3 linked regions of the Mytilus edulis genome follow. The protein of the gene in region 2 interacts with the protein of the main gene of each other region in a pairwise test. Links are inferred from orthologs where the notes say so. Each region holds a gene or a part of one and is shown on either strand. Other genes may lie near its edges. The genes, in order: proto-oncogene tyrosine-protein kinase Src-like, epidermal growth factor receptor substrate 15-like 1 and rho GTPase-activating protein 26-like.

Region 1 (8,290 bases), about 47 Mb from region 2:
AAATGCATCTATGTGAAGCGATTTATGTTGAAGAACTTAACTAGAGACATAGATACTAAAATGTGTTTCTGGCTTAACTGAACTTGAAAATTGCATCTGTTGTTTAGATGAATTTTAATCAGTAGCGTGTTTTTTTGACGACCCATCGTTCCATCGAAATAGATGTTTCAAATGTATTTCAATGATAGTAACTTTTGAAAATAAACTGCATGTACTTAAAAACATATATATTTTATACTTTATGTTTTAGTACTGCAAGTTCATGAATGTTGATAATTCCATGAATGTGTCTTCAAGTTCAATGGCATCTATGAAAGGGCACTGCATGGTTTCTCTACTCTTCCTCTGTGTGGAATGTGAAAATATTAAAAAATATTTACTACAGAAAATTAAAAACACAAGAAAAAGACCAACAATACATACAAAAATGAAAATGACAAAAATCATAATCGAATATACTCCAAACGGATTGAGATCAGTTCTCGTATGCACGCATTAACCGCCACATCTAATTCCAAAGAAAACATAGTAGAATGATCCATGTAAACTTGTCGCTCCTTTAAATAAACTTATTCTAAAAGGTTACCTATTCAACACTGTAATAAGATCATTAAATATTGTTTTTATTGGTATAAATATTGATTTTGTTATCAGTAAATTAAAAGCTAACTAAATATTACTAGTATGTTATATACATATACATATTCATGGAGCTACAATCTGTCGATACCTGTAACTTGGCATTGCACAAGGTCATGTTTTTCTCTGGCTGTTTATGACGTCTTTACACTAAATCCATTGGATGTTGGATGTGTACGGATTGATAGTTTAGTCTTAGATGACCCCTCTTAGATGCATGATTTTTTATTAGTTGTTAGTGGCTTTGAACTAGCTGTCAGATAACTGCGAGTACTCTCAGATCTGTTCATTGCGTCTTTTTGTGTCGGGATGTATAAGTACCCGGCCACGTCTACTTGTATGTTTGCCCATCTTATGGGTTAAGCCTTTTTCAACTGATTTTTATAGTTCGTTCTTATGTTGCACTGTCCCAGGTTAGGGGGAGGGTTGGGATCCCGCTAACATGTTTAACCCCGCCACTTTATTTATGTATGTGCCTGTCTCAAGTCAGGAGCCTGTAATTCAGTGGTTGTCGTTTGTTTATGTGTTACATATTTGTTTTTCGTTCATTTTTTTACATAAATAAGGCCGTTAGTTTTCTCGTTTGAATTGTTTTACATTGTCTTGTCGGGGCCTATTATAGCTGACTATGCGGTATGGGCTTTGCTCATTGTTGAAGGCCGTACGGTGACCATTAGTTGTTAATGTCTTGTGTCATTTTGGTCTCTTGTGGATAGTTGTCTCATTGACAATCATACCACATCTTCTTTTTTATAGTAGAAAGTGTAGAACCTAGGAAATACAACAAGCAGGTCGTAATGCCAGATTGCAACAATGACAGTTTTTCCGAATTTTTGTTGTACGTTCGTCTGTGTACCTTTGATATGACACTGACTGACCAGAATCAAAAGTTGATTGAGATCAAATTAATTTAAGTTGCAACATTGAAGTTCGTGTTACTGTCACTATAGTCAGGAACTTCATTGGTGATTGTATCCCTCGCTCAGTATTTCATGATGTCTCAATACATTTGTCACTTAGGATAATGGGGCTGGAGATCAGATGCTGATAATCGCTGTTATTGACAGCTTTGTTAAAAACGTAGTCATTTTCTGATCCGCCATTGTTATCATGACTAAAATACAATTGTACTGACACTAGTGTTCTTTCAATATTTTATGTGTGTATCTTTTATTTGATACTTTATTCGTACTTTTAACTTTTGGTAAAATTTCTCATACGTCTGAATGATGATTTTTGAAACTTGCAGAAAAATATAAGAATGGTATCATAAATAATGAATTTTAACAACTAAAATAACCTACAATTTGAAATTACATCAAAGAATGCACAGAAATCCTCCTGAGGGTACGTAATCTGTTTTAAAGTTTTGTTGTTTTAAATAGCTAGATATATCTGTCGACTCATTTTCCATGTTTCACCGTTGAAAGTTCAAACAATTATATTTGTACAGCTGTATTTTGTTTCGTTTCGTTTAAAAATAAGGAGATGTGGTATGATTGTTAAATGAGACAAATATTCACCAAGTTCAAATAAAGTGGTTGAAAGAAATAACAGGCAACCGTACGACATTCAACAGTGAGAAAAACCCATATACTGTACAGTAAGCTATAAAAGGCCTCGACATGAAAAATATGAAACAATTGAATTGAGGAAATTAACGGCCTAATTTATACCATGCAAAAACAACTTAAAAAATGATCAAATATGACAAGACAAGAACCAATGAAAACCACTGAATTACAGGCTCCTGACTTGGGACAGGCAGTGACGGTACATAATATATGTGGCGGACTTAAACATGTTTGCAATGCACGCTCAACCATCTCCCCAAACTTGGGACGGTGGTGTAACAGCACAACATGCGAAAAAAAACTATAAGTTGAAAAAGTCTTAACTCGTCGGTACAAAGCATTTAAAACATCAAACATAAACAGGGAGTATAGAAAGTCCCTGACATAAATAAAGACTGGAATGAGTAGGGTATATGTATCCATCCCTCGTCCCTACCGACAAAAAAAATACAGTTACTGCACTTGTTTCGATTGCGATGGCGAAGACTCTCGGAAACAGACAGGGGTCTAAAAGGTTACAAGGATGGGTTCCAACCATATGTCCACCACTCAAAGGCATTGATCGTCAAAAAAAGATAGGTTCCATCCCCACGGACCCCCACCCTCGATCCACCACTGAGAGAGATGTTTGTCATCAAGCACGGATCATCATTATCATGCGACAAGTTCATACGGTAATGAGTGTTTCAGCTCTAGATGTTCCTAATTATGCATAAAACGTATCATGGAAAAGATGACCAAAGAAGGACTGGCTTTTTACTATACAAATCTTTAATCAATCTATGCCATTTTAACCACAGGGACTCGGTTAGCAGATTTTTTTTTAATCTATGTTTTTTCAGAGACATATAACACTAAAGTATTATATGTCTCTGTTTTTGTCGAGCCTTCGACTTTAGTCGAAAAAGCGAGACATAGCGATCCTACATTTCGTCGGCGTCGGTGTCGTCGCGTCGGCGGCGTCCACAAATATTCACTCTGTGGTTGAAGTTTTTGAAATTTTAATTACTTTCTTAAACTGTACTGGATTTCTACCAAACTTGGACAGAAGCTTGTTTATGATCATAAGATAGTATCCAGAAGTAAATTTTATAAAAAATAAAATTCCATTTTTTCCGTATTTTAATTTTAAATGGACTTAGTTTTTTTGCCGGGAAACATAACATTCACTCTGTGGTTAAAGTTTTTAAAATTTTAATAACTTTCTTAAACTATCCTGGGTTTGTACCAAACTTGGACAGAAGCTTGTTTATGATCATAAGATAGTATTCAGAAGTAAATTTTGTAAAAATAAAATTCCGTTTTTTTCCGTATTTTACTTTTAAATGGACTTAGTTTTTTTGCTCGGAAACATTACATTCACTCTGTGGTTAAAGTTTTCAAAATTTTAATAACTTTCTTATACTATTTTTAATGTGTATCAAACTTGGACAGAAACGTGTTTATGATCTTAAAATAGTATCCAGAAGTAAATTTTGTAAAAAGAATAATCCTTTTTTCCGTATTTTACTTTTAAATGGATTTAGTTTTTTTGCAGGGAAACATTACATTCACTCGGTGGTTAAAGTTTTTAAAATGTTAATAACTTTCTTACACTATTTTTAATTTGTACCAAACTTAGACAGAAGCTTGTTTATGATCAACAGCTATTGTCTAGAAGGAAATTTTGTACCTGTGTATCTGTATTTTACTTATTTATAAATGAACTTAGTTTTTCTTCCAGTTAACATAACATATAGTCTGCAGTTAAAGTTTTTAAAAATATTTTTTATTGATTTTTTTCTCATTATTGTTGAGCATGTGATTTACAGCAAAAGTAAGCGAGACACTGGGTTCCGCGGAACCCTTACGAATTTTTTTCAATCTTTTTTTTCGTATTTCCTGTATTACATTATTAACGTTTTTAACGTTGACATCAATACTTGTTTGTTTTCTAGCCATGTGCAGTTTACTATCAATATCTGTAACGTGAGGGTACCCAAATTTCACCTATTATAACAGTTGACAAAAGTTTTCATTATGTGATTATTTTGTATCATTATTTACTATACAACAGAAAAATTGGTCTGAACTGACCTCCAAACCATTAATGATTCTGTAATGAGAGTATCCAAATTGCATCCATGCTTAAATTCGCATCGTCAAAAGTCAAATCATGAATAATAGAATAATACTGAAAAAACATAGATTAGAAAAAATATCTGCTAACCGAGTCCCTGTGCAAGTGACCGGTTACATAATATATCCATTCCTTAAATCTGTTATTTTGTTTAAAACAAGCTATTTTCTTGTAATTTTATTGCATTATAACGACTTTAAATAAAGCTTCACAGTGGCGGATCCAGAAATTTTCATAAGTGGCGGGGGCCCACTGTCGGACCTCAGATAAGAGCGGGCCCGCTCCAGTCACACTTCAATGATTCCCTATGATATAAGCAACCATTTTTTTCCCCAAAAAGTGGGGCCCGGGCCCCCTGTCCCCCCTAAATCCGCCTCTGCTTTATGGTTTTGTGTCTTCTGTCTATTCATATTTGAATTGTAGCGCGGAAAAAACTCGCACCTGCTAAAATTAAGAGTTATTTCCCCTTAGTAAAGATAAGTACCACAAACAATCGAAAAGATACAGATATATATAGTTTTACTTCCTAGTTAAAGTTTCACCCACTTTGGTAAAGTTCTTCCTGTTATTTTTCTGTTTATTAATGAAGAGGGTTTTATTTGGCGAACTTTAAAAAGACCTAAGGTAAGAAAGAGAGTACTTTCAATATGTTTTCACACTTGTCTCTGATGTCAGATCACGATATAAACATAAATGAACTTTCTTTTTATACACATCAGTGGTACATTACCTGTTGATTTCCCAGGTAGGGACTTCCCCAATACTTTGAAATGAATTGACATTGCGCAAATAAAATAGATTTTTATAGAGACCCTGAGAATATGCCACAGCCGTACTGGTGCATTCTGAGACTACTATAACACATTATAGTAGTCTCAGGTGCATTTGATATTTAAAGCCTGTAGAAACTTTGCACTAGTTTAAGTTAGCTGACTAGGCCTGAAAGAATTATTCATCAGCTTGAGCTTATGTACAAAAAAAAAAAACTTGTTGGCTAAGATATGAAAATTGACAGAGTGTTAGTGTAGTCTTATAAACACATACTAGAAATAACAACTCTGCCAGTCTCTGGCCTGACATTGTTCATGTTGTTCTCTTTAATAATCTAAAAAGCTTAAATCACACATTGTGACTTTATATTACTGTTCAATGTACAATTCAGAGCTTACACTTGTAATTGTGGTGCATATATATATATACTGACTTCAGATTTATGTCCTTGATATTAAACTATTCCTCATTAAAATTGTCTAAACATTAGATCAATTGAGATCATGTGATTCATGAATGGCTGGAAATTTGTAAACACATTTATTTAATTGCAACAGCAATCAGATATTGTTCAGGATGCTTTACCATTTATCCTGTTTTTAATCTGATTCTGATCCAAATTGTATCCTTTGCATGATAAAAAAAGTCTGAACTTGTCTGGATTGTGCACCCACTCTTCCGAATGTTGCTGACAGAGATCAGATAGTGACAGTCGGTGAGCTTAACAGAAAACTGTTACGATTTTTATCAGATACTGCAGAATCTATTACAATAGACCCCTTTCAAGATATGTACTTCACAGGAAAAGTTTGTTGATAAGCACAACTTGATGAGATCATTTATTAAATATAGGGGACTGCGCTGTGTCCATGCACTTTTAAAGTTTATCAAGTGTCCTTAAGCATCTTTGTTATCGTCATTATGGTGTGTAAGTGGTCATGCATGTACATGTAGCTTTGCTAAATATTTGTATATATATTTTAATATGGAGCACCATTCTGTTTAATCTTGTATAAGTGACCACACTAGTACTTGAAACCTTAAATGATTTTCTCATGCCCAACACAAACATAAATAGTACGAAAACTCCCATTGAAGATCTAGAACTGAATGCCATGTTAATGGTAACTAATGTGTCCCTAATTGTCTGCTGCTAACTCAAAACATTTTCTCAGTGTACTGTAGATACTCGGTCCGTGTAACACTTATCAATTCAAAGTTATAAAAAGTTTTGAAATTTTAGATTTTTGGAATTTTGATCAAAGTTTTAAAATATCAAAATTTCAAATTGTGTTAAAGTTTTGAAATTTTGAAATTTTAACCAAATTATTAAAATATCAAAACTCTAAATATCGTTTATAAATTTGATATTTTAGAAACTTGATCAAACTTTTAAAATACTAAACCTAACGTGCAATTTTGATTATTTCACTTTTTGAAAGTTTAATTTTTTAAATGTTTGCTTAAAATATCAAAAATATAAAGGGGCGACAAGAGGGGTACCTGTAATCACTGATGTAAGCACTATTCTTAGTTATAAATAAATAGCATGAAATATTTCAAATCATTCTTAATAACAAAATGAATAATGAAAAGAAGAAGTCGGTTTTTTTTTAATGAAATATATTAGACATCACATGGGATAACAGTATCCTGAAATTTTAAGGTTGTGCATCTATCAAAAAAAAATATAATTAAACCTATCTAAACCGGAATCAACTACGTTGATTTAAATCTCTTATATAAGGTTTAGCGTTTGAGATAAATAATTCAAAGCTATTTTGTGTTCCCAGTGCCCAACATTTAGAAGTAATTTTGACGTGTTAGTTTTCATAGTTAAAGATTGGTTGCTCAAAAATCTTTCAGCATGCATGTTTCAATCAAGAAGTAAGGGTTCTTAGGATAAAGTTGATGTGTTTAAGTTGATGTCTATGTTTAACGTTTCCTCCAGTGCAAAGACAATGGTATACAGTTGAGTGGGAATCGTGTCATGTCAGGTAGATCACACATCTACGAGTTGTTCTAGTGGTTAGCTACTGAAGAAGTAACGGTTATAATTGTGGTTTTTAAATGGCATGGCCAGAGGCAATACCCGGATAGAGTTTGGGACTGAAAAATGTCCAATTGATGTAGATGTGCTCAATTGTGTTCGATAAATGCGGGGACGCATTTCCTGGAGGCATGGGTGATGTGATGAACTTGGTTCACCTGTTTTATTTTACTAGTGTTCTTCTTTTTATTTCTTTTATCAAGCTGAAACTTTGTTATACGAACTCGTTATGTTTGAAAGTTTTGTTTTTGGTTTTGTTTGTTTACATTGCTATGGATATTTATAATATTTAGAATCAGTAACGGACCGGTCGTGGTTAGCATACCCGGAAATATTCAGATCGGAAGTCGTAAACATAAGGGCCGTCATTCAAACGTTTTAGCATTAAGGGTTAGGTTATTATAAACACTCATATGAATAAGACATATGGTATCGTCCAAATTAAATGGTATGGTCCAAAACCTTAGTATATAAGCTGATGTGCTGTCAATTTAACATGCACTCCAAAATTATTGTATCATGGGGAGTGTTATGCCGATTAACGTCCGAGGGCTGTATCCTAGGCTGTTGGGTGATACGACTTTCATTTCACTGCCTCACGGCTTTGGTCCTGATAACGCTTCCTGTCATCTTTCGAACTACGTCCGAGATCATCTACCAGTACTCCATCATCGAGGCTAGCGGGCTGCCAAGCTGACCAAACTGGCCCTGAAAGCAGCCGTTAGTGAAGAATAAACAACAAAATAGTAAACAAACCAAAAACAACTCACCAAAACCAAGATGGCGGCCTACATATTGCGACCTCCACTACTTGTTCCTGACCCACGGCATCAAAATATGTTAAAGCTCACCAAACGTCTTCGGGCACCGAGCCGACCGTGCGAGGGCTGTATAGCCAGTCAAGGTCGTTAAACACCACCATATATATATATATAACAAAGGGTACTTGTTGGATAATCCAAACGTCTAGAAGAAGTAAGAACTTCAAGGTAATAGTTTTCACTTTATAAAGATTATATAGATTCTGAATAAGAATCTATCTGCGTACCTGAATAAGGTTGCAGGGGGATATTATAAAAGGAACATACGCACCGGTTAATAGGTGCCTAGACGACTGTGCGGTTAAAGTGCACAAGT
Region 2 (8,369 bases):
ATTGTTTGGTAAAAAAGTAAAACATATATCAGCTAAATAACTTAGCCTCTGTAAGAAATGTCCAAATGTTAGTACAGCTGTATTTATAAATATATATTGGCCTAATTATCAAACGGGTTGAAACAACTGGTCAACGGTTATTACTTTTTGATAGTCTTCTGATTATACTTAACGTTAAACACCAATATATATACATATATACTAGTATATATAAACAAGTCTAAATTAAAAACAATGTTCAAACCTATGATAATGATTGCGTTGGATAAAAACTAGTGTTGTCAAATCGTACACTTTTGCCTAACCGGTTACTCGGATAATCGTTCGACCGATTAACCGGTAGTTTAAGTTGATGTTTGATAGCCTTATCTATAGTACCCTACACATAGATATAAGAAGATGTGGTATGAGTGTCAATGTGGCAACCTTCTATCCAAGTCATACATTTACGCTTTTATAATACGATGAACTGAAGTTTGTCCTTTGGTGTTGTAAGGATTTTCTATGAAGATTCCTGGCGAAGTTTGACTTTTAATAATCAAATACACTGTATCAACTATGGCGTTTGTACTAACTTCAGATTGAAAAAAAACCTTCTTGATCTCGTAGAATTTAATATTGTCTGAAACTGATGTTTCTTTCACTTTGGCTTGTTGTCTCCGAAAATAATGCTTCAATTTAAAATGATTTAGCATGTTACTCGTACTATCAAGTATACATCGATTACATTCACACTGGTTTGCATATCACAATTTTTGAGTTAGCATTCCGTTTAAAGTAAGACTAGGAGATTGCAAATTCAGATGTAGGTCTACACAATATTAGATCAAAAACGAAATAATGAAGTAAATCGTAAAATTTAATCGTATTACTGATTTAAAGTTTCTGTTAAAAAAACATTTATATACTAATTATGTTTCTTTAAGAAATTGCCCCGAGCTGAGAGACAAGTTCTAATTAATTGTTTATTTTTGGATAAGCAATAGCAATCAATATACTGGACAATTGATCTGTCAACTTAATTACCAAGACGACAATTTTTAAAGAAAACATAATTGATGATTTCAATACAAATAAGTTAAAATCTATCAAAAGTGAAAAAATATCCGGTTAACCGGTTAGCGTATTTGGTATTCGGTCGTTCAAACGGTTAACCGTTGACAACACTTATAAAAACCGCAATTTTTATATAGTGTGCATGTAAAACAAATTTCGTTGTAGAGGGGTCTTAGTACGTCCAAACAAGTGACAACTCTACTAAAGATCCATTGGATGACCAGTGAAGGGGATACACGGCTTCAAACACATATTATATTCATAATTACTCTAATTATCAGCACAACAATAGTATATCCGCAAATTTGTTCATGGGTATATCGAGACAACACCGTCTGCATTCAAGACCGATCGACCACGTAGACTTAACTAACAATTCAGCTTTCGGTGGCTTAGTGTTACCTTTCCTCGTTAGTAGAATCTAGAGTTGTAACACAGTATAGTATATTAGGCATGACAATGGAATTGATTGCAGACTAGCTAAATTATCAGTCGTAAACGATAGGGAGATGCAATCACATAAATACCATCTCATATATAAAAGCACATCATGCAGAAATGCATCTAATATGTTTTTTTTCCCTAAACTAGAGTTTTTGCTTCTTTCCAAAATCAAAGTTGAGAATCTGGTAATCCATCAGATGAATGTTTCCTTCATGACAGTCTTGAACATAAAATTAGATACTGAATAAACGAATCTGTTTGACTTTCACTGTGCAACACAGTTAAACATAGAACCTTATTTAAATATTTTTGTCAGAAAACACTGTCAGACATCTTAACATATTATCCACACTTATCTACACTTGTTTAATACTTGTAAATATTATATAAAGAGAAACACCAGAGCATACTACACTTCATGCAATCGTCATCATGTTATAAAATGGTTAGTATTCGAGTAGGCAGATCTATGAAAGCTAGTTTCTTATTTTTATTAAGATAGATATGAGAAGATGTGGTATGTGTGCTAATGAAACAACTCTCCATCCAAGAAACAATTGGTAAAATTAAACCACAATAGGTCAGAGTACGGCCTTCAACACGGAGCCTTGGCTCACACCGAACAGCAGCAACAAAGCCCCACAATGACTAGTGTAAAACAATTAAAACAGGAAAACCAACGGTTTAATATATTTAAAGAACGAGAAATGAGAAACACTTGTGAACCACATCAACAAACGACAACCATGTGCAAACAAATGCAGCAGGTTTAAAGGTTATAACAGGCACTAACCTTCACACTAGCCTGAGGAAGAAGTGTAACAAAATAACATAAAAAGACACACTATAAAATACCTAAAAAAATTAGATTGAAATGGATTAACTAAAAATAAAAGACATATTTACAAAAACAAGTTAACATACAATGAACGAATAAATATTTTACAATTTAGCTCAAGATAGATTACTTACATAAGCTAAGGAAGTCAAAAGAAGTCATTTATCAACCGCATAATCGGGTGAGATAGAATATATGAAATATTGGGATCATTATAGAAAAACATTACCCCTGTGAAAAAAGTTAAAATACTGGTAGGTTTGAAGCGGTAATTGTGAGAGCAGCATTTAACTAACCAAATCAATTTTGATATATCGTATTATATTTGTATTGACTCGATCAATCTAACAAAAAAAATAAACTCACAAAAATACTGAACTTTGAGGAAGCTTCAACACGGAAATCCCTTATCAAATGACAAAATCAAAAGCTCATACGGCACACCAAACGAATGGACAAGGGTTTCCTTTTATTTTGTCTAATACTGCAGTCTGTAATTTCACATGTTTCATCATGAAAAAATACCAAAAAACCTCACATATTAGATTGTCGTTTGGTTTTTTTGTAGTATAGATTTTTTAAATTAGTAATATTTAACAAAGCCATAGTAGAATACCACTATTTAATAGTCATGAATCGATTCAACTAAAACAATCCGGGTCACACACTAATACTGAGGGAAAGACATCAAATATATAAGAAGGAAAAAACAGAACATCAAAAATGCATAATTGTTGAATTATACCATTTACATGCAAACAATTGTATAACCGCATTCAAAGCGGTGGGTCATGTAGGCTCAGGAGCCTGTAATTCAGTGGTTGTCGTTTGTTTATGTGTTACATATTTGTTTTTCGTTCATTTTTTTTACATAAATAAGGCCGTTAGTTTTCTCGTTTGAATTGTTTTACATTGTCTTATCGGGGCCTATTATAGCTGACTATGCGGTATGGGCTTTGTTCATTGTTGAAGGCCGTACGGTGACCTATAGTTGTTAATGTCTGTGTCATTTTGGTCTTTTGTGGATAGTTGTCTCATTGGCAATCATACCACATCTTCTTTTTTATATTGCTTGGTTTAAACGCCTGTGAGTAATATGATCGTATAAAAGTTCAAATGCAGAGCACATAAAATTAAAATTAAAAAAAACTGAAAATTCAAAAATGGGGAGTTCCTAATCAAATTGACTAAATCAAAATCTCAAACACATCAAACGAATGGATAACAACTGTCACATTCCTGACTTGGTACAGGTATATTCTAATATAGAAAATGGTGGATTAAACCTGGTGTCATGACAAGCTAAACCTCACACTTGTTTGACAGTCGTATACAAATTCCATTATATTGACACCAATGTGGGAACAAAAACAAACAACCATAATAGGTATAATGCCAAAAATTTTAATTTCTAACATCTTGGAACAATCAATGATTTTTTTAAATTATATAAATTATTCGTTCTTAAAGCATGCTATTTAAGTATACATTTGTCACTTTTATAAAACAAAAATGAACTATTTTATTTACTCTGTCTTTCAGTCAAAAACGAGTAACACGTGTGTAAAGGTATTGAGGTCAATTTGTTTAACCATCTTAAGTTTATACAGTAGATATGTGATATACATGAACTTTGCACATCTTCAGGGGCGGATCCAGCCATTTCAAAAAGGGGGTCCCAATCTAGAGTAAAAAGGGGGGTTCCAACTATGAGCTCCCATCCAAATGCATTGATCGTCCAAAAAAAGGGGTTCCAACCCCCGGAACCCCCCCCCCCTGGACCCGCCACTGATCGTATCTCTCTTATACCTTCCTATTTCTTTGACAAGCCGTTTGGTGAGCGGCCGATGGTTGCCATCGCTGCCTGAATGAAATCTACGTCTCTGTGACCAATTAAAAATACCAATTAACCACAGTTTAACTTGAAAAAAATAATCAGTAAAAAATAGTTTCAATGAACCAGATGCAGATCGAGAATTTAAAATAAAGGGGACCGGCGACAACTGGCAACATTTGGAGTGCAAGTTGTAAAAAGTCTTTGCATTAAAGTATATAATCATGATGTAGCTCAATATCTTGAGGACCTGGGCCGGCTCTGCTCCTTAAATCCGCCATTGTGGACCACATTCTGTACATGCTGTACTATAATTAAATCAAACTGCTGCCTGGCATATAGTCTATCTGACTCTCAAAAGTTTGCTTTTGTTTTAATTTCTGACATTAAATAATTACATTTTGGACGTAACACTTCTTTTATAAACTGACATAATTTTGGTCATGTGATCATGACATCATCAACGTTTTTTCATGATTTACTCCCCTAAAATGTAATTGAGAATTACGTAGTAAGCAATAACTGTAAAATTATTTTTTTATTCTCAAAATAATATAAAAGAAGTGGTGCAAACTGTTAATTAACCTAACTTTTAGTTTAGACTGGACTATTAGTGCTACGCTGTTATTCGGTGTGTACCACAGTTTTAGGTAACTTTTTCATAGATAGAAAATAAATGTTACAGTAAATCCTCGAATAACTGAGATTGCCAAGAACACAAATTCTCTAATTGTATCAATCGGTCTTGCTAAGATTTACAGTTTACTAGGAACACGAATTTGAATCTAATTCACCCGGAAATTCCAGTTGGACCGATACTGTTTTTTCACATAAAAATTAGACAGCACACGAACATTTCCGGTTAAGGATGTCAAATTTTCCACCACTTCCACAGGTTTGAAACTCTGTTATTCATTAAAAGGCGATACTTTTCGCCATTATGCACACTTTGTCGTAAACAATTAAGCAAATAGTAAGAAAATGTATTTCAATGGTCGAGTCGTTTATCATATTTTGCACTAGACAATTGACCTCAAGTACACGCAAATTATAACTCCTTCTGGGCGTAAGATATAATTGTTCTTTCTTCTTGTGTATTTGATTCTTTCTAAATAAGTTTAATTGTTAAAGAATCTTACTAAAACAAACTTAGCTGCCATACATTATATCCCAACACACAATTTTTTTCTGATACTACATTGTACTATTATTTGATCATGTCCCCTTCTAGTTTGATCACTTAACACATATTTTACACTTTAGTACAGAGTTCGACTTGTAACAAAGAAGAAGAATAAGTTCATATAGTACATCTTTGTTTGCTTTTCTCAAATTTTAGTCCAACAAAGCTAGATGTGCAAATTTGCATTTGCATGATTAGCATAAAGCAGGATTTGAACGATTCAATGTTTGTTCTCCCTTGTGCCTATTCCACCACATACCCGTTTGCCCTTGGTTCTGTTTGCCTGAATATCGTATTTATATTATTTAGATTTCATGGATGTCTTGTTGTTTAATTTAAAATATTTAAAAAAAAATATATGTTGAAGTTTGATGAAAATATTGTCATGATTGTAATGCTGCTACCAGATATAAATTATGTTTTCCGTCACAAGGTGACTAATATGATTAGTTCATTTGAAAAAACCTTTTTGATTTTCAAAAAAATGTATATATTCTTCATTTTGTTTTTTAATATTTACCATACAAATATCTGAATAAGTTTATAAACCTTTCTACAATCAATATTTAATTATTTTTTCTTCGTAAAAGTACATGGCAAATGAACCCAGGTCTAACTGACTCTATGGGTAAACTTGTTATCATGGTTATCTAGCCGAATGAACCAGCTTATACTCATTTGAACCTCTGCATATCTGATACATTGTGGTATTACTGTTTCCAGCACCAAACACCACTTAACTAACTTGGCTATATAAAAATACAGCTTTCATTAGTCAAGTATTACCTTTCCTTGTCGGCTTTATGTTGGGTTGTAACACTGAATATGAGATACATTGTATAGTCAAGTACTGCCAGATCGTATACCTTGCAGATCAGCTGTTTTTTTATCTGTCCAAAGGATGTTAATTTTACTCACATCATATTATAATTTTTACATGTACATGTATATTCATGTTTTTTAATTCTAACATGTAAAAAAAAAAGGTAAGAAGTATGTAAGCAAGATAACAAAAATTTATGAAGGTTTGTTAGATGAAGATGACCGTTCATAAGACAAAGATCTTGATGCTGAATGAGCAATACAGGCTCTTTTGAAACTTCTAGTACTCTACATATGTAAGAAAAAAAAAATTGATAACACAATTTATAGTTTGAATTTCATTTATTGATACTGTGTATTTTTAAAAATTTCAGATTGCTGGTAACCATGCATTAGTTTATGAAGCATATTATAATCAGGTATTGTTTAATGTTAGATCACTACATCAGATACATGTACTATTACTTAGCAAAGCACTATTTTAAAGTGATGTATACAAATGTAGCTAAGCAACAGAATTATATAAATGGGAGTGTAAAAGACCTTGACTGGCTATACAGCTCTTGCATGGTGGGTTATCAGAATTAAAGATAAAAACATAAGATTATACATATGTATGCATGTGCTGTACAACACGTAACTTAATCAGGCAGTGTTAAAAACTTGACAAATAGAGACCTACATAAATTGACATTGATTAATATTTCAGTTCATAAAAGGAAGAAATGTGCGAAAATAACTTTCTTTTTCGTTTCCTGTTCTGGTAATAGAAGATACAGTTTGTTTGAAATGCACTATGAATAAACAATTAAGGGGTGATAACTCTGTAATTTGCTTCATTCTAACCAAAACTTATCTGTCATGTCTGTAGTTCTTTTGAATTATCAGACATACAGAAACAAAAGACATACTATTTCTAGCTCAGGATGATGGTTTGTTCAGAATAGCATGGTAAGGTTGGTCATTTTTTTCTGACCATGTTTTGATATTTATTTGAATTGCCTCGTTTTTAAAAAGACTCGCTCTTGAAAGTATATTTGTAAATAATTATATATTTTTATGTATTTATAGGCTGATCCAAAAGGAACAGGGAGCATAGGAGCTTTAGATGCTGCAAATTTCTTGAAGAAATCTGGACTCAAAGACTCAGTTTTGGGACAGGTATTGTAATTTTTATCTGCAAAAAGTAAATGATTGTTCTTTAAATCCATCATGCTCAATACAATTTAACTGTCTTTTGGTATAAAAATTAGCTGATTTATCTTATATATTGTAGTATTTCTTGCAGCTTTTAGATTTTAGAAAATTAGATAAAATGGCTGTTATTGAATTTTGTGTGTAAAGGGAAAAAAACAAAAAAATGCATTTTAGTAATGACCACAAAGAACAATAAGACACTCAACCTCTAATTTCCTCCTGTAGAAATATAGGATTTGATGGTTTGCTATAATTCTGAATAGTTTATAAAAGAGAGAATGAAACTGCTAATTACTGCACATCAATATGCAACTAGCCACAGAGCTTTAGAAGAAAACATTACAGAACCTTAACAGGTTCAAGCCGAACAGACTAGCAATATGGTTATATAGTTTTCTGAGTACATTTATTTATGAGATTGGGGATAGTTGTGATTGGTGGTATACATGTACCTGGTAGAAAATGTTGTTCAATCAAAATGTGAGCCATTATAGATGACATGCAATGAGTACAAAATTGGTAAATAGATATAAAAAAGATATGGTATGACTTCCAATTCTCCATCCAAGTCACATTTTGTAAAAGAAAACCATTTTAGGTTAAAAAAAAAAAACGGCCTTCAACATGGAGACTTGGCTCACACCAAACAGCAAGCTATGAAGCTCATTTGATAAGAAATCATTTGCAAGTATTTGATGAAGTTTGTATGATAAGAATAAATTTTATGCTTTTGCAGATATGGGATTTGTCAGATCCAACCGGAAAAGGATACTTAGAGAAACCAGGCTTTTATGTTGCTTTAAAGTTGGTTGCACTATCACAGAGCAACCAGGACTTAAATTTACAGAATCTGATAATTGATGCACCACAACCTAATGTTGTATGTATAAAATTACTCATTTAATTTTGAATTTTCATTGCTTATACATACATGTACAGTTGACACACAACTCTATGAAAAAAAGAAGCACAAACAAGGACAAACATCAATGAAT
Region 3 (8,128 bases), on a different chromosome or scaffold from region 2:
CTAACCGAATTGATAAAACTTTCTGTTGTGAAAACTGAAACTTCCAATTTATGTATCTAAAAATAGACAAATCAATAATAACTGACCTTGAAATGTCGTTTGCGCAAATAATTTTGCGGAACGAAACCTGTGTTTAAAGCCTTTACACATTATGTTCGTTTCCCGTATTTGTCTTCATTCCGTAAGATAGAAAATGGAAAATGAACTTGTCCAACCGTGGAAGACGGCAAGTTAAAGAACTTAATTAAAACATATCCTTTGGAATTTCCTTCAGACTTTTGTCATTGATAATTTAAAAAATATCCATTAAGATATAAAAAACGGGAATGCATGACAACTGATGAACCCAATATACTCGGTTTTTTTCCAGTGGAAGAGTCTATTACGTTTTTGACATGTGTGTTTAAACTTATTTTCGTACTATGTATTTGCATTTTTTTTTTTATCAGTTTTCGTGTTTAAAGATCATTAATCACTAAGTTTCGTGAAATTTGTTTACGGCTACGTTTGTAATATGACGATTTAATTTCGTCTTTGTCCATGGATACAACCCCCCTTTTTTCACAGAAAATTATTAGACAATGTCATGCGATGTTTATGGCAGCTGATTAATAATATTTCATCGATCCAGTATAAGAAATGATGATAAAATAGCATATTGTTAGAAAGGTAAAATGTATTTTTTTTTGCATATTTTTCTGTCTTGGGATATCTTTTTCCTTCTTCTATCCGACTGACTGACTCGACTTTTTCATGGGGAAATCCGTAAACCAACACATTAAAAAACCCTGGCCTAACATATGAAAGAGTTGTGAGAGTAAAACAAAAACAAGGAATGGATTTAAAGGAAGCTTTATAAAAAATTATAATTGAGAGAAAATGTGTTGCATTTTTCATTTCCCTGTATTAAAGTATGCTTTCAACCTCAATGGGAAAATGAACTAAAATAAATGTTATGTAGGCCCTGATGAGCTTATATAACAAAAATACACATATCAAAACACTTATCTGTCAACAAATCAACATACCACACTGTCCACAAACAGGAAGTCTCTGAAGTGTGTTACAAAAATAACAAAATGCTCGGTTCTTCTGTTGCCTGTGAGGAAGGAAAAAAATTTAACTATAAAAACTGATGCATTATAAATATATATATCGTAAAAGGGTTTTTTTTTTTGCTTTGGCGTTGACTTCTGTTTCCTGCTAATGTCTTAACTCTATTGGAAAGTCAGAGATGTAGAAAAGAACTTGAAAGCATGTGTAGATTGCAGCTTTACAAATATCATTTCATCAGAAAAGGATGAATCAACACAACATTTGATAGTACAAGTCACATCATGTTAACTACAAAGCTAATCAAGATTTAATATATAAAAATTTACTTGTTACAGTACTTGCTCACTTATTACATGTATTACATGTATTTTAAGTTATCAAATCTTCTTTTCTTTATTATGTTTATGTTTACTTACTTTTTACACGAATCACATTCCTGAAACAAAAGAACATGATTGTTAATACATTACTTCTCTTGGCAAGAGATTTTCAATAACTAATTTATAAACAGAATTTTTAATTTCCTGACCTTATAATTCCTATCAGCACATACATGTCAATTTCTGCAATCAATCTATGGAATGAGTTGCCAAATCATTGCAAAACTGAAACATCTTTTACTCAATTCAAAAGTCCAATATAAACCTTGTTTGAATGGCAACTCATGCCAATACAATGTTATGTTCTTAACATTTAAGTTTAAGGTTACAGAATTGAAACACATAAGTGCTGTACACAGGGCTGTAACTACATTGAGGCAAATGCCTCATGTTGGAAATTTCAAAAAAAAAAACAAAAAAAAACCAAAACAAAAGATTGTCTTCATATCAAATTGTTTTCACGGAAAGTGTCTTGCAAGACACAAGTTCTCTTTACTCTCAGATGTCGCCCTTGTATGTTTATCGTGGTCCATGTTTCTATCTTATTTTTAGTTTTCAGAGTTGATGGTCTATTGTCATGATTGTTTGTACTTCTGTGTCCCGGGTTTGTCTTTTGTTCATTTATTGTCCTACTTTATGACTATATAGATATAGGAAGCTGTGGTGTGAGGTCCAATGAGACAACTCTCCATCCAAATAGTCTGAGTGTTGATTTTCATTTGTAAACGTGTGGTTTTGCAATGTTGCATGTCAACCAATGTCCAGACATTGTACGAAAAAATATTTTAAGAATATTTACGATGCTACTGGACACAAAAAAATATGGTCGTTTCTGCATGGAGAATTGAACTTGATATCAAAGAATACAAAACTTGCTCTTTTTGTTGTAGATAAAACTAGATAGCTGACATAGTTTAAATTAAAGTAAGACCACCAATTTCTCGGTATCAAATCATCTATAAAAACATCAATGTATTGCCATATGATCTTTTACATTAAAGGGTTAAACTTGCATTAAGTCGTGTTCAGACCCTTTAACAGAAAATAAAAGAAGATGGAGTAAATGGGCACGGGACCTAATCTCACACAAAATTAATGCATAGAAAAAATACAAATGATTAATGGTCAAAGTTTGTATTCTTGTTCTTCATCTTGATAGTTTCTGGAGGGTCTTCAACAATAAAAGAATCATTAATACCGTAAAACAAGGTCAAGATGATCCTTAGTGTCGACTTAAGCAGTACTAGTACTTAAAGTATACTACTGCACTGTCACTATATATAAATCTAGTCACAAAAAAAATCACCAAAGTCTAAGAACAATACGAGACAAAGAACAGACAGACAGACGCGATTTTAATGATTGTGAGAATTACTATTTTTGCTTTATCCTTCATATCGGTCTACTTTTAATGTTGTCCCCGTAAAAGTCTTAAATTACAATGAATCTATGTTTTTGCCTTGAGACCAGAATATTGTCAAAAAAAACGCTAAAAATAAATTGCGTTTCAATGTAAGAAAGAGTCCGGGAAACGCTCAGAATGCACGATTTTGCTTTATTTTTCTCATAGCTTCTGGGGGCCTTGAGCGGCCCCCAGAACCCTTCGCCAAAATTTTTCGCCTCGCTACGCTCGGTGAATATATTTAGCCTCACTATTAAAAGAGGCTAGTTACGGCCCTGGTACATGTTTACCTCAAATACACCAATATCATGTTTTATCGCGCCAAATTTATACTTGTATTGTCACCTTGTTCATATTCCTTTGAGACGGCTTTGACATTAAATTTGGGTCTTTGTTGACTACCAAACTTTCTTCCCAGAATTCTGTATCAGAGGATGTTCAAGGCATTTCCTCAGAAATTCCTTGTATCAATATTATTATTTTATCGTGACCAACAAACAAAGTAATGTTTTTCAATTACAAATCAACAATTTACTGTAGACACCTTTACAAAATTAACAAACAAACTAGGCCAAAGAACATTTTTTTTTTTACAAGAACAGTTAGGTCCTTTAACATGTTTTCTGGAAACAAATACTATATATTAACAAAAAAGGCCCTTGGGGTTTTCAATAGAAATTGCCCTTGGGGTTTTCAATAGAAATTATAACAAGTATACTTGAAAGATTATAATTTGAGAAAATTTCTCGTCTGTACTAGCAAACTTTCACATAGATTTTTACTGTCCATACTGTTGTGCATTAGTTTTTTTCTACATTGACTAGAGGTATAGAGGGAGGATTGAGATCTCAAAAAACATGTTTAATCCCGCTGCATTTTTGGGCCTGTCCAAAGTCAGGAGCCTCTGGCCTTTGTTAGTCATGTATCATTTTTAATCTAAGATGCTTGGGTGTATAATTCAGAGTTTAGTATGACGTCCATTATCACTGAACTAGTATACAAATTTTCTTAGGTGCCAGCTGAAGGACGCCTCAAGGTGCAGGAGTTTCTCGCTGCATTGAAGACCCATTGGTGGCCTGCAGCTGTTGTCTGCTCTATGGTCGTGTTGTTGTCTCTTTGACACATTCCCCATTTCCATTCTCAATTTTATTTCACATAATACATGTGATAAAGTTATTTCCTTTGAAAATTAAGATCATGTCTGATGTTTAATTACGTTTTTTCTTTAATCAGATATAGCACATGCTGCATGAAAACACCTGAGACTGCCCAAAAATGTAGTCAATACAACAGTTTTGAACACAAATATGTCACCACAAAGGTGATCGGAAATATATTTTTCAATTTCTAAATGTAATGATATGATGCGAATAATATTTGTGTACCACAACGCTGCTGATATTTGTTACTCTATGCACCATTTTTGGTCATAAATTATATATGTAGTTTACACATACATTTGTAGCGGTGACTGAACATGTAAGTCATGATGAAATTATGTGCACAGAAATAAGATTGAATACTTAATGGAGTAAAAAACACTGTATATTAAGCATCAATTGTACTACAAATAAAAAATATGGTTCTTAAACAAAGTCAAAGATAAGCTAGATTAGAAATCACCACCCTCCCCCTTTCTTTATGAAATCTTGCTTTATTCATATAGATCTGAAGACTTTGTACCATAATGTAGTTGCATGGCCTTTCAACAAGTGATTTCTCTTGTGTTCTTATTTCTCTCTGTCTTTCTCTCTGCTTTTCCGCTTTTTTTCTTTGACCAGTTTTTTTCTTTGGCATTTTGTCTTTGACACTTGCACATGTGTATACCGGAAATAAAAAAATAATTTCTGAATGAATTGTACGCATGCGTTTTAAAACAGGAAGTAGCTATAATGTAGCTGTCAAAAATCACTCGGCCCCCCAAAAAGCTAAACATTTTGTTTCAAGGTGATACACAAATCTGAAAATGGGTCTTGAACCCCTTGAATTTGCGGAGTGTTTAACTGACAGTCCTGGTTTTCGTGAAAAACTTCACGATCATGAGAAAGAACTTGAGAGAACTAGCAAGGCTATCAAAGCCTTGATTGGTGATGGTAAAGAAGTCTTAGCAGCATCAAAAAGTATGTATTATGTGACGTCTAAATTAGGTTTCAAAAGAGAGAAGTGTCTCTGTTGTATGAAGTCAATTTAACATTAACGAAATGAAATAGTTTCTTTATATTCACAGATATATACAAATTATGTCTATTAATATTATGTAGCCCATTAGTCTTTAGACTTAGGCTTGGTAATTACAAAGAGGGTGGTTAAGGGTTATTTTTGTGCAACGTGATCACCGTTTTTTAATTGACGTTCAACATGTTTTTACTTTTTTATTTGACGTTCAGTCGTGCAAGACGGGTGCCTCGTTCAAAGTGTTCTGCTTATTTAATTTTACGTGCATCGTGATTTTCAAAGTCTTATTTTGCGTGCTCGGTATTTTTCAAATAAAATTCAAACACTTGGCAGGGATCGTCAAGAAATACTTTTTTAAAAGCCGTAAACCAATAATATCATAAATGTGTATACTAAATCGGGAATATCAAGTAAAACAAAGAGTTAACATATACAAGAAGACAGTGACTCAGTCACAAAAGGTTCAAATAAAAGTATTTATTTTTCGTGCAACGTTCAATACAGAAATTATTTCACGTTCAACGTGAAATTATGTCTTATTTCATGTTTTTGACGTGCAAGCATCCCCCCTTTACCACCCTCTACAAAAAATGTATAAAAGTTAACATCATCTATCAGTCATAACTTTGTAGCTTTGGAGTTGTTTGGCCATACATTGTAAGTCGATTCAGCTTTACAATTTGTTATTAAACTTCAATAGTGATTAAATAAGTGTCAATTATAAAGGAGGGTCATAATACACCTTATAAATTGCTAACCAGGCTGACCCCAGAATCGGACCCACTCGAACTTTTGTCGTCATACAACAATCACTTTTCCATTGTGGGTTTTGTTGTATTTTAATGTCAAAATTTTTCAGGAACCTGTGTGATGTCCAGTAATCTGGTAATCATGGTAATGGCGGAAAATTAGCAATAAGGTGTATGAGGGTTAACTTCATGACGAATAACAATAATAATTCATGCAAAATGGTGTTAATAGTATTTTTGTGGTGCATGTCAATAAAACGTACACTTTCTTTTAGAAGATGAAAAAAATAGACTGATTAAGTTATGTTTAGATACATGTAAATCACTTTAATTTTTCCTAAAATAACAGTAATGATAATTTTTTGAGACCTCTGAAGAATCTAGGTAAAATTTAACCAAATCGATGATAATGGTAGCTGTAAATTACTATTTGATGCCTACAATGGTTAAGGGATTTCCTATCCTTAGAAAGGTGTATGTCTAAGGCCAACTAAAATTAATTAGTAGATTTTCATCCAAATTTTTGAAAATAATGGGGCGGGTGGGAGGATTTTATTTTTTAAATTTTATTTCATATGAAACCCTTTTGTGACGAGTTCTTCGTATATGCAAGTGTAATAATAAGCTTGTATCATGTATACACAAGTATGAGGAATCTTACATAATATTTCAAATCCTTAAATAAATATATCTAATTGCGGCTTTAAAAACTTTTAAACAACAAAAACGTGTGAGAAATACTCTCTTCAGTTAGACTACCTACACAAAATGTATTTGGGTTTCTAAACAATGGTTTGTATTACCATAAAATGAAGCAAATGCATTGGTATGCAACACAATTATTATGAGTACAGAATAAAATGAAAGCTCAGAGAGTGTTGAAAATAATAGGGTTGGTACTTTATATGCAAGATGAAAATATAATTATCATGTAAAACATGAACTTAATAATTAAAAAAAAGTTGTTGTTTAATGAGTCTTTTTGGCTGTATTGTGACATTTGTCAACATAAAAAGACAGCCATGGGTAAAATCAAAGGGCTTGCATAAATAAAATGCGTATGTTAGTCGACTTTTTAAATTCAATAAACGGTCATAAATCTGACAAGTTCGTGCTTGTGTTTCAATATCTATAATTCAGTCATGTTTTCTGTATCAATGGTTTCCACGAATCTTGTGCTTTGGGTATCATTTACAGTTTAAATTTCCTGAGACAAAGTCATTGCATAAATAAAAAAAGTCAGCAGTTTTCTTATCACAGAAATGTGTGACATACTGCGATTTGCAGTCTTGGAAACAGCGTTTTTCTCGTAACACCAATATTTCATTGTCATTCTCGTTATCAATCTTTACTCTCGGAAGATGATGTTGTCATCATAGAACAGCGGAAAGGTAGACTTAATCATTTTGGTTAGATTACTCGAGGTACAAAACCGAAATTTGAAACAGGAAGCATTGAATGAAACGAAATTTTAACGGTTACCGGTAACGGGAATGAACAAAATCCGGAAATCGTAAATTTTATAAAATAAAAAAATTCGGGGCGGGGCGATTTCAGAGGGGCGGGCGGGGATGAAAATCTATCAATTAATTTTAATTGGCCTAATAATAAACCAATCAAATTGTTATTGAATCTAATCATTGTTTGTCAAAACAAGAATTTTTTAGTCTTTCAACTCGACAGAGTATTATTTTTTTTTAAACTAGGTTCCAAACCCTAATTCCTTAAAGCGTCATTGTTTATTTTTTCCAGGCTTTTACCATATTTTGGTTGCATTTAGAACTTGTGAAACTGCATCTGTAAATTGTAAATAGTTTCATTTACATTGTATGTAGAACAATGTAGAATTTTGCTTAAAATCAGGATTTCTTAAAATTTCATCTAATGTTAATTCATGTACATGGCCAAAGTAGCACAAAAATGTAGACAAAACAACAACATGAACAAAGGCTATGTGGCTCTGCGGCAGAAATGTCTGGTTTCCCATTAAGCATACATTGTAGCACTGACATTTTAAAATAGTCTGTAGACTTAAAATATAATGATATAGATTTAGAGAAAAAGAAGATTTCCAGATAAATGAAAATACATGTAATGGACTTAGAGACAGGGTCCTTGTATTAAAAGGCCTGTTCACTCATCCCTGAAAAAATATTTTCTGTCTGGAAAACTCTGGATGAGAACAGTCCTTTTCTCAAGAAGATTTATTTACAATGTACTGCTGTTAAAAAAATACTTGCTTGTCAAGTTGTTTTCAGTATAACCAGAAACTGACTTCCATTTCCATTAATTGCTTATAATTAATGGGTACAAATTAACTCCTAAGAAAGCTAGGTTATATAACATGTTGCTTTATTAATAATGTT

What was found.
Region 1: the proteins of epidermal growth factor receptor substrate 15-like 1 (region 2) and proto-oncogene tyrosine-protein kinase Src-like interact in a two-hybrid assay, tested with the Caenorhabditis elegans proteins (2 studies listed by BioGRID, with this or other methods). The link is inferred for Mytilus edulis from reciprocal best matches to the Caenorhabditis elegans genes ehs-1 and src-1.
Region 3: the proteins of epidermal growth factor receptor substrate 15-like 1 (region 2) and rho GTPase-activating protein 26-like interact in a two-hybrid assay, tested with the Caenorhabditis elegans proteins (2 studies listed by BioGRID). The link is inferred for Mytilus edulis from reciprocal best matches to the Caenorhabditis elegans genes ehs-1 and T04C9.1.

Annotation. Positions count from the first base shown.
Region 1 is NC_092344.1:80,770,684-80,778,973, forward strand, and holds the start of proto-oncogene tyrosine-protein kinase Src-like, read left to right. Parts: upstream 1-4,801; 5' UTR 4,802-4,956; intron 4,957-8,290. UniProt on the Caenorhabditis elegans protein: Non-receptor tyrosine-protein kinase which plays a role in endoderm development by controlling spindle orientation in EMS blastomere, probably downstream of receptor mes-1.
Region 2 is NC_092344.1:33,434,872-33,443,240, reverse strand, and holds the start of epidermal growth factor receptor substrate 15-like 1, read left to right. Parts: upstream 1-5,004; 5' UTR 5,005-5,040; coding exon 5,041-5,067; intron 5,068-6,551; coding exon 6,552-6,596; intron 6,597-7,248; coding exon 7,249-7,338; intron 7,339-8,110; coding exon 8,111-8,254; intron 8,255-8,369.
Region 3 is NC_092351.1:29,716,989-29,725,116, forward strand, and holds the start of rho GTPase-activating protein 26-like, read left to right. Parts: upstream 1-4,704; 5' UTR 4,705-4,804; coding exon 4,805-4,958; intron 4,959-8,128. Other genes in the region: zinc finger protein 330 homolog, read right to left, coding at 1,029-1,099, 1,473-1,492, 4,522-4,635.